Ovis aries: one gene and its partners. The protein of the gene in region 3 interacts with the protein of the main gene of each other region in a pairwise test. Links are inferred from orthologs where the notes say so. Each region holds a gene or a part of one and is shown on either strand. Other genes may lie near its edges.

What was found.
Region 1: the proteins of phospholipid scramblase 2 (region 3) and CRY1 interact in a two-hybrid assay, tested with the Homo sapiens proteins (2 studies listed by BioGRID and IntAct). The link is inferred for Ovis aries from reciprocal best matches to the Homo sapiens genes PLSCR1 and CRY1.
Region 2: the proteins of phospholipid scramblase 2 (region 3) and SLC35A2 interact in a two-hybrid assay, tested with the Homo sapiens proteins (2 studies listed by BioGRID and IntAct). The two-hybrid records come from large-scale screens. The link is inferred for Ovis aries from reciprocal best matches to the Homo sapiens genes PLSCR1 and SLC35A2.

The regions. Positions count from the first base shown.
Region 1 is NC_056056.1:175,908,054-175,911,553, reverse strand, and holds part of CRY1 (cryptochrome-1), read left to right. Parts: intron 1-912; coding exon 913-1,021; intron 1,022-3,500.
Region 2 is NC_056080.1:56,168,656-56,172,155, forward strand, and holds part of SLC35A2 (UDP-galactose translocator), read left to right. Parts: intron 1-926; coding exon 927-1,078; intron 1,079-2,097; coding exon 2,098-2,834; coding exon of another isoform or gene 2,835-2,853; exon of another isoform or gene 2,854-3,500. UniProt on the Homo sapiens protein: Transports uridine diphosphate galactose (UDP-galactose) from the cytosol into the Golgi apparatus, functioning as an antiporter that exchanges UDP-galactose for UMP.
Region 3 is NC_056054.1:242,594,358-242,597,857, reverse strand, and holds part of phospholipid scramblase 2, read right to left. Parts: intron 2,809-3,500; coding exon 2,647-2,808; intron 219-2,646; coding exon 186-218; 3' UTR 1-185. UniProt on the Homo sapiens protein: Catalyzes calcium-induced ATP-independent rapid bidirectional and non-specific movement of phospholipids (lipid scrambling or lipid flip-flop) between the inner and outer leaflet of the plasma membrane resulting in collapse of the phospholipid asymmetry which leads to phosphatidylserine externalization on the cell surface.

The sequences.
Region 1 (3,500 bases), on a different chromosome or scaffold from region 3:
ATATTAAAAATGAAAAACATAAAAGAAGCAGAGTCGAGAGAGGAACAGAACAGAGAGAGGAACAGAATCTACATGAAACCTTAGAGAAAATTAACATGAGGCAAACAATGAGGTTGAACCTTCCAGGGGTGACATCTATTTTGGATTTGCTCTTGTGGACTGCCCCATTTCTTTACAATGGAAGATGCAAAATAAGCAGTCTTCTGCCTCCACCCCAGAATTTCCCCAGATATCTATTATGCATAGGACTTATTGACGCTAACTTCATTGAAAAAACTTACAGCCCCACCTTCCTCAGAAACCTTTTATGAAAAAATTAATTTGGTATTCTCTATACTCAGAGAGTTAACGCACATAATTTAACATCTATTTATTATCAGATTCTTTATATTAGAAACTGAAAATGGACTTTACTCCTTCTCTCTCTTAGATGATTACAACATCCCCTAATAAAGGGCTCAAATTCTTATTCACTTGTTCAGAGTGATTAAATAGGATGTTAAAAGTGTTCTTTTTTTCCCGAAGAAAACCTAGTGTCCTAGGTTTTTCAAGGTGGCTTTTCTATATTAACTTGGATTTATTTCACCAAGTTTAAACAATGAGATCAATTCATTTAATTATTTTATTTCTTTATATGATTTTTACTAACATCACCATTATTTAATGACAGTTATTCATTTAATTTAGGAAGTTCATTTAAAAATACTGAGAAACTTGTGCCATAATTTTTAAAAACTTATAAGAATGGTTTCTGGAAGCAGTAATTTATACATGATCTAGAAATTAGAAGATTTTAAAGAGGTAAAAAAGATGAGATTTCAAATTTTAGAATAGCATGACTTTTTATTACTTTACTTTAAATTTTATAAATATGTATTTTGAAGAATTTAAATAATATTTTCCTCTCTCTAGATTTTTGCTTCAGTGTCTTGAAGACCTTGATGCCAATCTGCGAAAATTAAACTCTCGTCTGTTTGTGATTCGTGGACAACCAGCAGATGTGTTTCCCCGGCTTTTCAAGGTAATTGAAAAAAATCTTTGCATAAAAGAAAAATCTCTTGTCAGAGAAGACACATTTGTGGGGGGGATAATTTAAATTTTAGTATGGGAAATGTAAAAATTTTAAATAAAATATATGTGGATTTTTTCTTAATGAAAATGTTACACAGACAGTGTGAAATCAGACTGTGAAAAAAATGATTTACATTGAAGTTAAATCTTTCTTCTATTTTAAACTGCTAGTTCCCCTCTCAGAAGCAACAGCTACTACCGCTTTCTTATATATGCATTAGAAATAGTCCTTGCATAAATAAGAATGCATATGTGTATGTGTATTTATATACATATATTTGTGTGGTTTATGTGTATTTAAAACCTCTGTTAAAACCTTTTAAAAACCTCTTGTTTTTAAAACCAAGATAAGAACATGCCATGTTATACCATTCTATGCCATGCTTTATTCACGTGCTTTATTCATGTGCTTTTAAACCTCTGTTTAAAAACCTTAAAACCTCTGTTAAAAGTTTTTAAAAACCTCTGTTTTTAAAACCAAGATGAGAACATGCTATGTAATACCATTTTATGCTGTGCTTTATTTGCATAATCATGTATTTTGGATATTGTTCCATATTACTTTCTCAGTCTTTTAAATGGCTTCATAGTATTCGATTGTGTAGATATGCTATAGTTTCCTTTTTAAAAAATTATTATTGACTTATAATTTATATTTCAGGTATACAATGTAGTGGTTCAATATTTTATTGATTACATACCATGCAAAGTTATTACCACTTAGCATAATGTCCTCAAATTCATACATTTGCGATGCTGTTGCTAATGACAAGATTTCATTCTTTCTTTTTATGGCTGAGTAATATTTCTGTGTGTGTATATGTAAATCGTTATTCATCTGTTGGCAGGCACTTAGGTTGCTTCCATATATTGGCTATTGTAAATAATGCTGACGTGAACATTGAGGTACATACATCTTTTTAAATTAGTGTTTTTGTTTTCTTCAGATAAATAATGGGAGTAGAGTTGCTGGATCATATTACCATATGATCTGTGTTCTATTTTTTATTTTTTGAGGGTATCATTTCTTTCACTAGCTTTCTAATGAACACTTAGTTGTTTTTCCACAGGCCTTTTGCTAGTTCAAGTTATGCTGTCAGTGAATGTCCTTGTTCAAATATACATGTCTTTACTCACATTTGCTAGTACATTTGTGGGATAACTCTTGTAAGACTTTCTGAGTCAAAGGACTATATCAATTGACATGCTACAAAACTGTAATTTTTTTAAACTTGGTAGAATCTTAAAGATCTCCTAATCTTATTTTCCCCTGTTGTCCACATGAAAAATTTAGTCCTAAAGAGATTAAATGAGCTGACCAAGGTCATAAAGTAGCTCATGGAAGTGCTCAGGCTGAGTTTCTTGGCTTAGTTCATCCCTTCCTATTTACTGCAGTTAGAATTCCTAATGTATATCTGTTTTTTTCTTACAACAGTTTGATTCATCAAATTTTTATAATAGCATTGTTTCTATTTCGAATGCAGAAGAGAACAGTTCCTTTTCCTGAGTGAAAATATCCCCAATTCTGGGAATTCAATTAACACTACCTTGCCTTTTTTCATCAGCATGAAAGAAATTTTTAACGTTTAGGATATGACTAATGCAACAGTTGTGGCTAGTCAAAATTTATTTTACTGAAGTTTTCTTACTACTATAGCTTCTTAGGGTCAGAATTTAACCTAGTTACATGCAAGAGCTCTGAGCAGAAAGTATATCAGGAACAATGGTAATAGTTAATCAGCAACTCATATGTATAAAGTATATGTGAATATCTGCTTCAACTTTATATAAATCCATGTATTATAAGTAAATTGAATCTTGAGGATTTTTAAGTACCTTTAAAATAACAAAACATTTATTTACCTCCTTTGACAAAAATGGTTTAAGTAAGCAAGACTGATGCTGGGAGGGATTGGGGGCAGGAGGAGAAGGGGACGACCAAGGATGAGATGGCTGGATGGCATCATGGACTCGATGGATGTGAGTCTGAGTGAACTCCGGGAGATGGTGATGGACAGGGAGGCCTGGCGTGCTGCGATTCATGGGGTCGCAAAGAGTCGGACACGACTGAGTGACTGAACTGAACTGAAGCAAGTCTTTTGTGTTCTTTATTTTGAGCTTTCTTCTGCCTGAAATAGCATATTATTGGATCAGACTATCTTCTGAATTTAGATGCTATGCTTCTTGTCTTGTCACTTTGACAGAGAGGCAGTGGTTTCTACAAAGGCCATAAAATATAGATACATGAATATATATTACTGTGCCTAGAGTGCTTATTATTTGATTCTGATATAGTCCATATAAAATATATTTTATGAAAACTTTCAGATTTATTTAATATGTCAGAACCATAGAGAGAGTTAATTCTTCTTTTTATTGTATTGTTTTTATTTTTACTGTTTTTGTTTCGAGGTACTGTATGCATGTAT
Region 2 (3,500 bases), on a different chromosome or scaffold from region 3:
GTCCACGAGTCACTGCAGAAATATGAATGAGCTTGATTATGGTGTGTAACCCCACATGTGTGGTGTGTGTTGTGTGAAATATATAGCATGTATACCATGTTACCTTCCTAATACTTGGACATTTTTGAACACCCAAACCCCTGGGCGCAGGGGATATGTGTAAGGGGTTAGAGATCAATAATTACTCCTGGGACTTAATGCCATGAAGGGCAAGGACAGGGTTTTGTGAATGAACATCAGGAGTTCGTGCAATAACCATGTACAGTAGTTGTGGGGTTTTCCCTGAGGAAGGATACTTAGCTGAGCCTTAAAAGTTGACCTGCGAAAAAGTGGGGTGAGATTTGTAAAGGTCTTATTATATAGAAAAGTATTCTCATGAATTGACTGGAGCAGATCCCAGCCAGACTTTCTGCTTCATAGTTAAGCCTGCATTCTTCCATTTGACAGGGGCAAATGCTTGGTGTGTGGGAGGCTGACGGAAAGAAGTGGCCAAGTGGAAGATTGCCCCTGCTCTCAGGTGGCTCTCAGGCTAGGAAGGATCTAGGAAAAGTCTAAAAGCTCAGTCTGAAACAATCCCTCTTGGTAAACAGCCTTCTACCCACCATCCGAGAGCATCTACTTCACAAGCTCCTAGTTAGTGCTGATAGTTTCATTGCACACACTGCACTGAGGGCTTGCCCTGGGGCTTTGTGCCAGGGAGGTGGGCTCTAAGATGAGTGATGAAATATGGACTGTGGTTCCCAGACTGAGTATCCAAAAGGCTTGCTGGAGACATTGTGCTGTAGAGAAACTGAGCACAGACCTCATTCTAGCCCTCAGGAAGTCAGTGTAGTGGGGAGACACAGGACCAGGCCCACTCCTGTCCTTTAGAGGATCCCCATCTGTTGGTAGTCAGTGCTAAAAAGGGCTCTCTTCCCTCCACCTAGGTAACGTGAAGCACCTGGTTCTTTTCCTCCATGAGGCTGTCCTGGTGCAGTACATGGACACACTCAAGCTTGCAGTGCCCTCTCTCATCTATACCTTGCAGAATAACCTCCAGTATGTTGCCATCTCCAACCTGCCAGCTGCCACTTTCCAGGTGAGCCCAAAGCCCAGCATGGCCCTAGAGGAACTGGCTCGGGTGGGGGATATAGGATGTTTGGGGAGGAAGTACTGCAAAGTGCAGGGGCTGTGTCTCCTGTGGAATGGAATGTCCTTGGCTCTTCCTCAACCTCAGTTTCCTCATCTGTGAGAACTGGGAAGGGAAATGGTAATAGTAGCTACTCACTGGGATGCTGGAATGATTAAAAGAAATGATATCTGTGAAGAGCCCTTGGTTGGTGATGGATAAGCTTTAGGCTATTTACGGGTGGCCTCTTTAATTGGTTAAAGACCCTGGATTCTGGCGCCAGGCTGCCTGGGTTCAAATCCCAGCTCTGCTGCTTTCCAGCTGTGTGATATTGGGCAAGTCACTTAACCTCTCTGTCTCATCTTTAAATTGGACATTGCAATAGTACACTTCTTATATGAGGATTAAATGAATTCATGTGAAGTGCTTAGACCCGCACCTGGCACACACAGTAGCCTCTATGTAAATGTTTACTGATGTTATTTCATAATGGATTCATTTGTATCAATATGTATGGATTCCTTTGTATGGATATGCATGGATTCATTTGTATCAATATGTACGGGTTCCTTTTTATCAATATGTATTTATCAAGACCTCCCTCATCAGGATGTTTACAATTCATTGGTTACCTGCTGTGTGAGGTACTTCAAATATATCAGTCGTATTTACAGATGATTATGTCAGGACTCAGGGCAAGTGCTTCCTCCCATTTCACACAGCTGGGACACGGGGTTGGAATGTGGACTTGGCTGTGGTCTGGGCATCCTTGCACAGCCATCCTCCTGGGTACTTTCTGGGAGGCACCTCAGAGCTATGTAGTCGCATCCCAGTCAGTGGCCAGCGGCTGGGTATCTTTGCTGTTTCTACGGTCATCTACTCTGCCCTGTGCCTCCACTGTGCCTGGGGGCCCACAGTCGGCGCCATCCCCCATGTGCACATGTTGGGGTTGGGATCAGCCCTCAGTGCCTTCTGCATGCCGCTCACAGGTGACGTACCAGCTGAAGATCCTGACCACAGCACTGTTCTCCGTGCTCATGCTGAACCGCAGCCTCTCTCGGCTGCAATGGGCTTCCCTGCTGCTCCTCTTCACTGGCGTCGCCATTGTCCAGGCACAGCAAGCTGGCGGCGGGGGTCCACGGCCACTGGATCAGAACCCTGGGGTGGGCCTAGCGGCTGTGGTGGCTTCCTGTCTCTCCTCAGGCTTTGCCGGTGTCTACTTTGAGAAGATCCTCAAAGGCAGCTCAGGCTCCGTGTGGCTGCGCAACCTGCAGCTGGGCCTCTTTGGCACAGCCCTGGGCCTGGTGGGGCTCTGGTGGGCTGAGGGCACAGCCGTAGCCCACCGCGGATTCTTTTTTGGGTATACACCTGCTGTCTGGGGTGTGGTGCTCAACCAGGCCTTTGGTGGGCTCCTGGTGGCTGTTGTCGTCAAGTATGCTGACAATATCCTCAAGGGCTTCGCCACCTCCTTGTCCATTGTGCTGTCCACTGTTGCCTCCATCCGCCTCTTTGGCTTCCATGTGGACCCGTTGTTTGCCCTGGGCGCGGGGCTGGTCATCGGTGCCGTCTACCTCTACAGCCTGCCCCGAGGTGCAGCCAAAGCCATAGCTTCTGCCTCTGCCCCCACCTCCGGGCCCTGCACTCACCAGCAGCCTCCCGGGCAGCCACCGCCACCACAGCTGTCTTCCCACCATGGAGACCTCAGCACGGAGCCCTTTCTGCCAAAGTCAGTGCTGGTGAAGTGAGGGCTGGTGGCAGCGAGGGGGGGAGACAGGGAGGGACTCTGGGTGGAGGGTGTTGGGCATCTGCAGGATTCAAGTTGCCACTGGGGCCTGGCTCCTCTGGGGTTGGAAGGGTTTTTTCTTCCAGGTCACTGAAATTTCCAGAAGGGTGTGGGATTAGGGCAGGGCATCACATGAACCCTTCCTTGTAGCCAGGGGTTTTTAGAGCTGCCTCCTCTGCCCCAGTCTAACCCCTTAGCCAGAGGTGTCCTGTCTCTCAAGCCTGGGAGAGTCCCAGCAATCCCTCCACCTTTGTAGGGACAAACTGGACAAAAATTCTTCAGCTCTTTAGTAGTGACTGATGCCTACCTGTGGGGTTCCGATTCCCATAGCTCGAGGCCTTCTCTCCTCCCTGGTAACTACACTGGATCATGTTAGCAGCTCAGTCTTTTTGTGGCCTTGGGGCAGCTTCCCTGACACAGGGACTTGAAAAAGGGCCTCTTATGAGCACCTAGAGAGAGAGGAAGGGGGATGAGAGCTGAGATTTTTGCATCAGCCCACTCAGGGGGAGGGTGCAGTAGGAGCCATTGGTTTGTAAGTGGTTTGGGGGTTTGTGGTGTAATCAGATGAATGATCCAGGGTGTGGGAAAAAAGAAGGGAGGTCCTTGAAG
Region 3 (3,500 bases):
TTTAATTTGAAAAGTAAAAGCATATGCCTGAAGCTTCAGGTATCCTAATATAATTTACACATGCTGTAATAAATCATTTACATAAAGAAAAAATCCACCCAGTTTTTCTTTTACATAGTCCCAATCAATATACGGACTTCAGATTTTCTGAGACTTTCATAAATGTACTACCACACTCCTGCTCTCTATTTAGTAGTCATTTCAAAGAACATGAAGTCCTAGAGAAAAACAAAATACAGAAATGAGTTTTCAGCACCAAGCAAAGATCAGGTCTCAGATGCATAAATACTAAGGGATCTGATGAAACACAATAACATACTTGCTAAACAAGAAAAATCAACTGTAATACGTAGATCTAGGAAAAATTGATAGCTTCAACTTTCCAGTTTAATGGTAATTAAATCCTACAATTCTGTTAACTTATTGATACCTGCATGAACTTAAGTAATTCTCAGGTGATTTCTGTAAGTTTCACTTTTTTTCATGCTTCTTAGAATGTTCCTCTTTCAATCTTTCTTCTTCAACTTTTTGAACTCCTTCTCTAGTAACATAACTTGTGTTGTGACTGTACATGGAACTCCATGTACAATCTTTAGATTGTTTCAGGAGAATGGCAGCCATCTTAGACTTAGAATAACATCTTAGAATTTTGGGGCCCAATTTTATGACTTCTCTTCCAAGCCTGTCTCTCTATTCCTCAGTTTGTCTTACTCCATCAGTTTCTAACCAAATCTTCATCTTTATGACTTCTAAATTGTATGGATTTTAGCTCTCTCACATCTGTCATTTTCCTTTATCCCTTTATAAAGAAATAACTAAATCTTTATAACCATTCACTTGTAGTTGCACTAATACAGTTGGTCATCAGGATTTATTGTTCTAACATTTGGATTTATAATTATTTTTATTTATACGTAGCTTAAAACTAACCAGTTAACTAAACAATTTTTAGTATCTTTCCAAGGTCTATAAGAAGTTGCCCAATCTACCCAATATTCACTTCTTAATAACCCCACTCCAGTATTCTGGGCTGGAGAATTCCATGGACTGTATAGTCCATGGGGTTACAAAGAGTTGGACATGACTGAGGGACTTTCACTTCATAACCCCACCAACACCCTTCAGTCCCATATCTCATCTAACCAGACATCCCAAACTATTCTCTCTGCCCTATACACATCATATCTTTGGTTATGGTGTGTAAACCGTTGGTTAAACAGTTCCCTAAGATTAAGATTACAGTTTTCTTCTCAGGTGAAATAAACATTTGTTGAAAGCACAATTTTTAAACAGAATTGTGGTTATCTTTAAAATGTTATATAGAAAATATCATCTATGCCAAATTAGATAGAACAGCATAATAAAGTCCCAGTGACTACTCACCCAGCTTAGTTCACCAATTAATCTATCCCTTATGTTCCCCTGGCTTCATCTCCCTTATTTAAAAGCAAATCTGTGATAAATAACCATATCATTTCATACTGAAATACTTCAGTATACACCCTTAAAAAATATGGACTGTTTTGTTTTTGTATAACCATAATAACATCATTTTAAAAACCTTAATAATTCATTAATATCATCAAATAGCCTGTGTTCACAAATGCATGAAGGTCTTGTAAATGTCTTTTTATATTGGTTTGTTTAAACCAGTATCCAAACAGAGTCTACAAATGATATTAAGCTGGTGTTTCTCTTTTCATTTTTATCTTCCTGATATTTATTTGTTGAAGTAACTGAATCTTTTCCTGTATGTTCTCTCACTTTTTAGTTTTCTTTTTTTTTTTTTCTGATTGCCTCTGCATGTCAGTGTTTAAGATAATCTAGTGGCTCCAAACCTCATTTGCATTGCAATCATACGACAGCTTGAACACTTGATGGCTTTGTTCCATCTCCAGATTTAGTTTACTGGATCTGGGTACAGTCTTGACATAGGGAGTGCAAAAGCTACCCAGGTGTTTTTACTGTGCAGCTAAGGTGAAAAACCACTGCTCTGTCCCCAGAGACCTTGACATTGGCCACATAAGGAATCATCTAGGGAGCTACACGAACTTTTAATGGTGTGCTTCTGATTTAGTTAAACTGGGGTATGGCTTACTACTAAAAACTTCCTAGCTAATTTAATGTGAAGACAAGTTCAGAATCAATGCTGTATTCCATATATTTCCTCTCAATTGATAGTTCCATCCAAGACTTGATCAAATGTACACTTACTGCAGTTTGTATTTCTGTATTAGATGGTTTAATAATGAATAAGGAAAAAAATATCCTTGTTTCACTGAGACTTATTTCATTTAAACACACTAGAAGATTCAAACTCTTCTCCAAAGTACCAATTTTTTTTTGTTGTTGTTATTGGTGGTGGTGGTGGCTTTTTTTTTTTAACCACTAAAACCAGAACTTCTCCTTAACATATAACATCCTTCTGGTACAGTGTGAAACTACACAGACCCTCCAGAGAGAAGCTAGTCACCTGTGAACCAAGAGTAGCAGAAGAAAACGGAATTTCAGAGCTAAGATTAAATAGGACCACTTTCAATAAAACCTACAAATTTAAGGTCGTTTAAATATATAAAATTTAAAAAATTATTCCAGAATAAAACTAGAGAAACCATCTGTACCCTAGATTAGCAGGAGTAAACTTACAATGAGGAAACATGCGCCAAGCATCACAGCTTTCATTTTCACATCAAGGTCTAATGGGAACTGGATGCCAAAGTTATCAGCATCTGTAAATAACTCTTTAATAAGGCCAGTCCAGTGCTTGGAAATCCTGCCAACCACATGCTTCTCATCAAGAGATTTAACCTAAATTGAAAAAAGAAAAAGGACAAAAACTTTTAGCAAACTAATAAATCTACTTTCCAACTAGAAGTAAAATGAAACCAATATTAAAATTATATATATGCCATCATAACTGTGAACATTATATCACTCAGTAGATGCAGGTAGATTCCTATGTTTACTTATAGATTCATTTTAAAAACTTTATTTGCTACAGAGAACTAATATGAAAGTAGTTTAGCTGAAATAGTTAACATTTTCTATTCTCCATTAAGATATACAGTAATAAATTAGTTGAGTCTATCCAAAATAAAATTCAAGCAGGAAAAGATACAACTGTGAAATGATTCTTTGAATGAAATTTCTAGAAGCCATCTGGTCGGGGGAGCGGGTAGTAAATGAAACTCTAATCTGACTTTAGCTTAAGATTAGTACAGAAAGTTGACATAGGTTGAGTGTTTAAAGGGGATGGAAGGACTCAGGAAAACATAAAATGCCAAGAGGCTGGAAAAGAGGACTGGCAGTTTTGAGAGAAGTAAACTAACCAATAAGTAATTTGATGGGATGCCCCAGGTCAAGGCTTGGGGTAAGACTGGACAACAGAATGGGACTGAACAATAAAAGAGGAAGGATGTATGAAACAGAAGGACTCCAAAGTAAAGTTTTTCTAATTTTATGTTTCTATCTGAGTAAAGCTCAGGCCCATGATAAGGAAC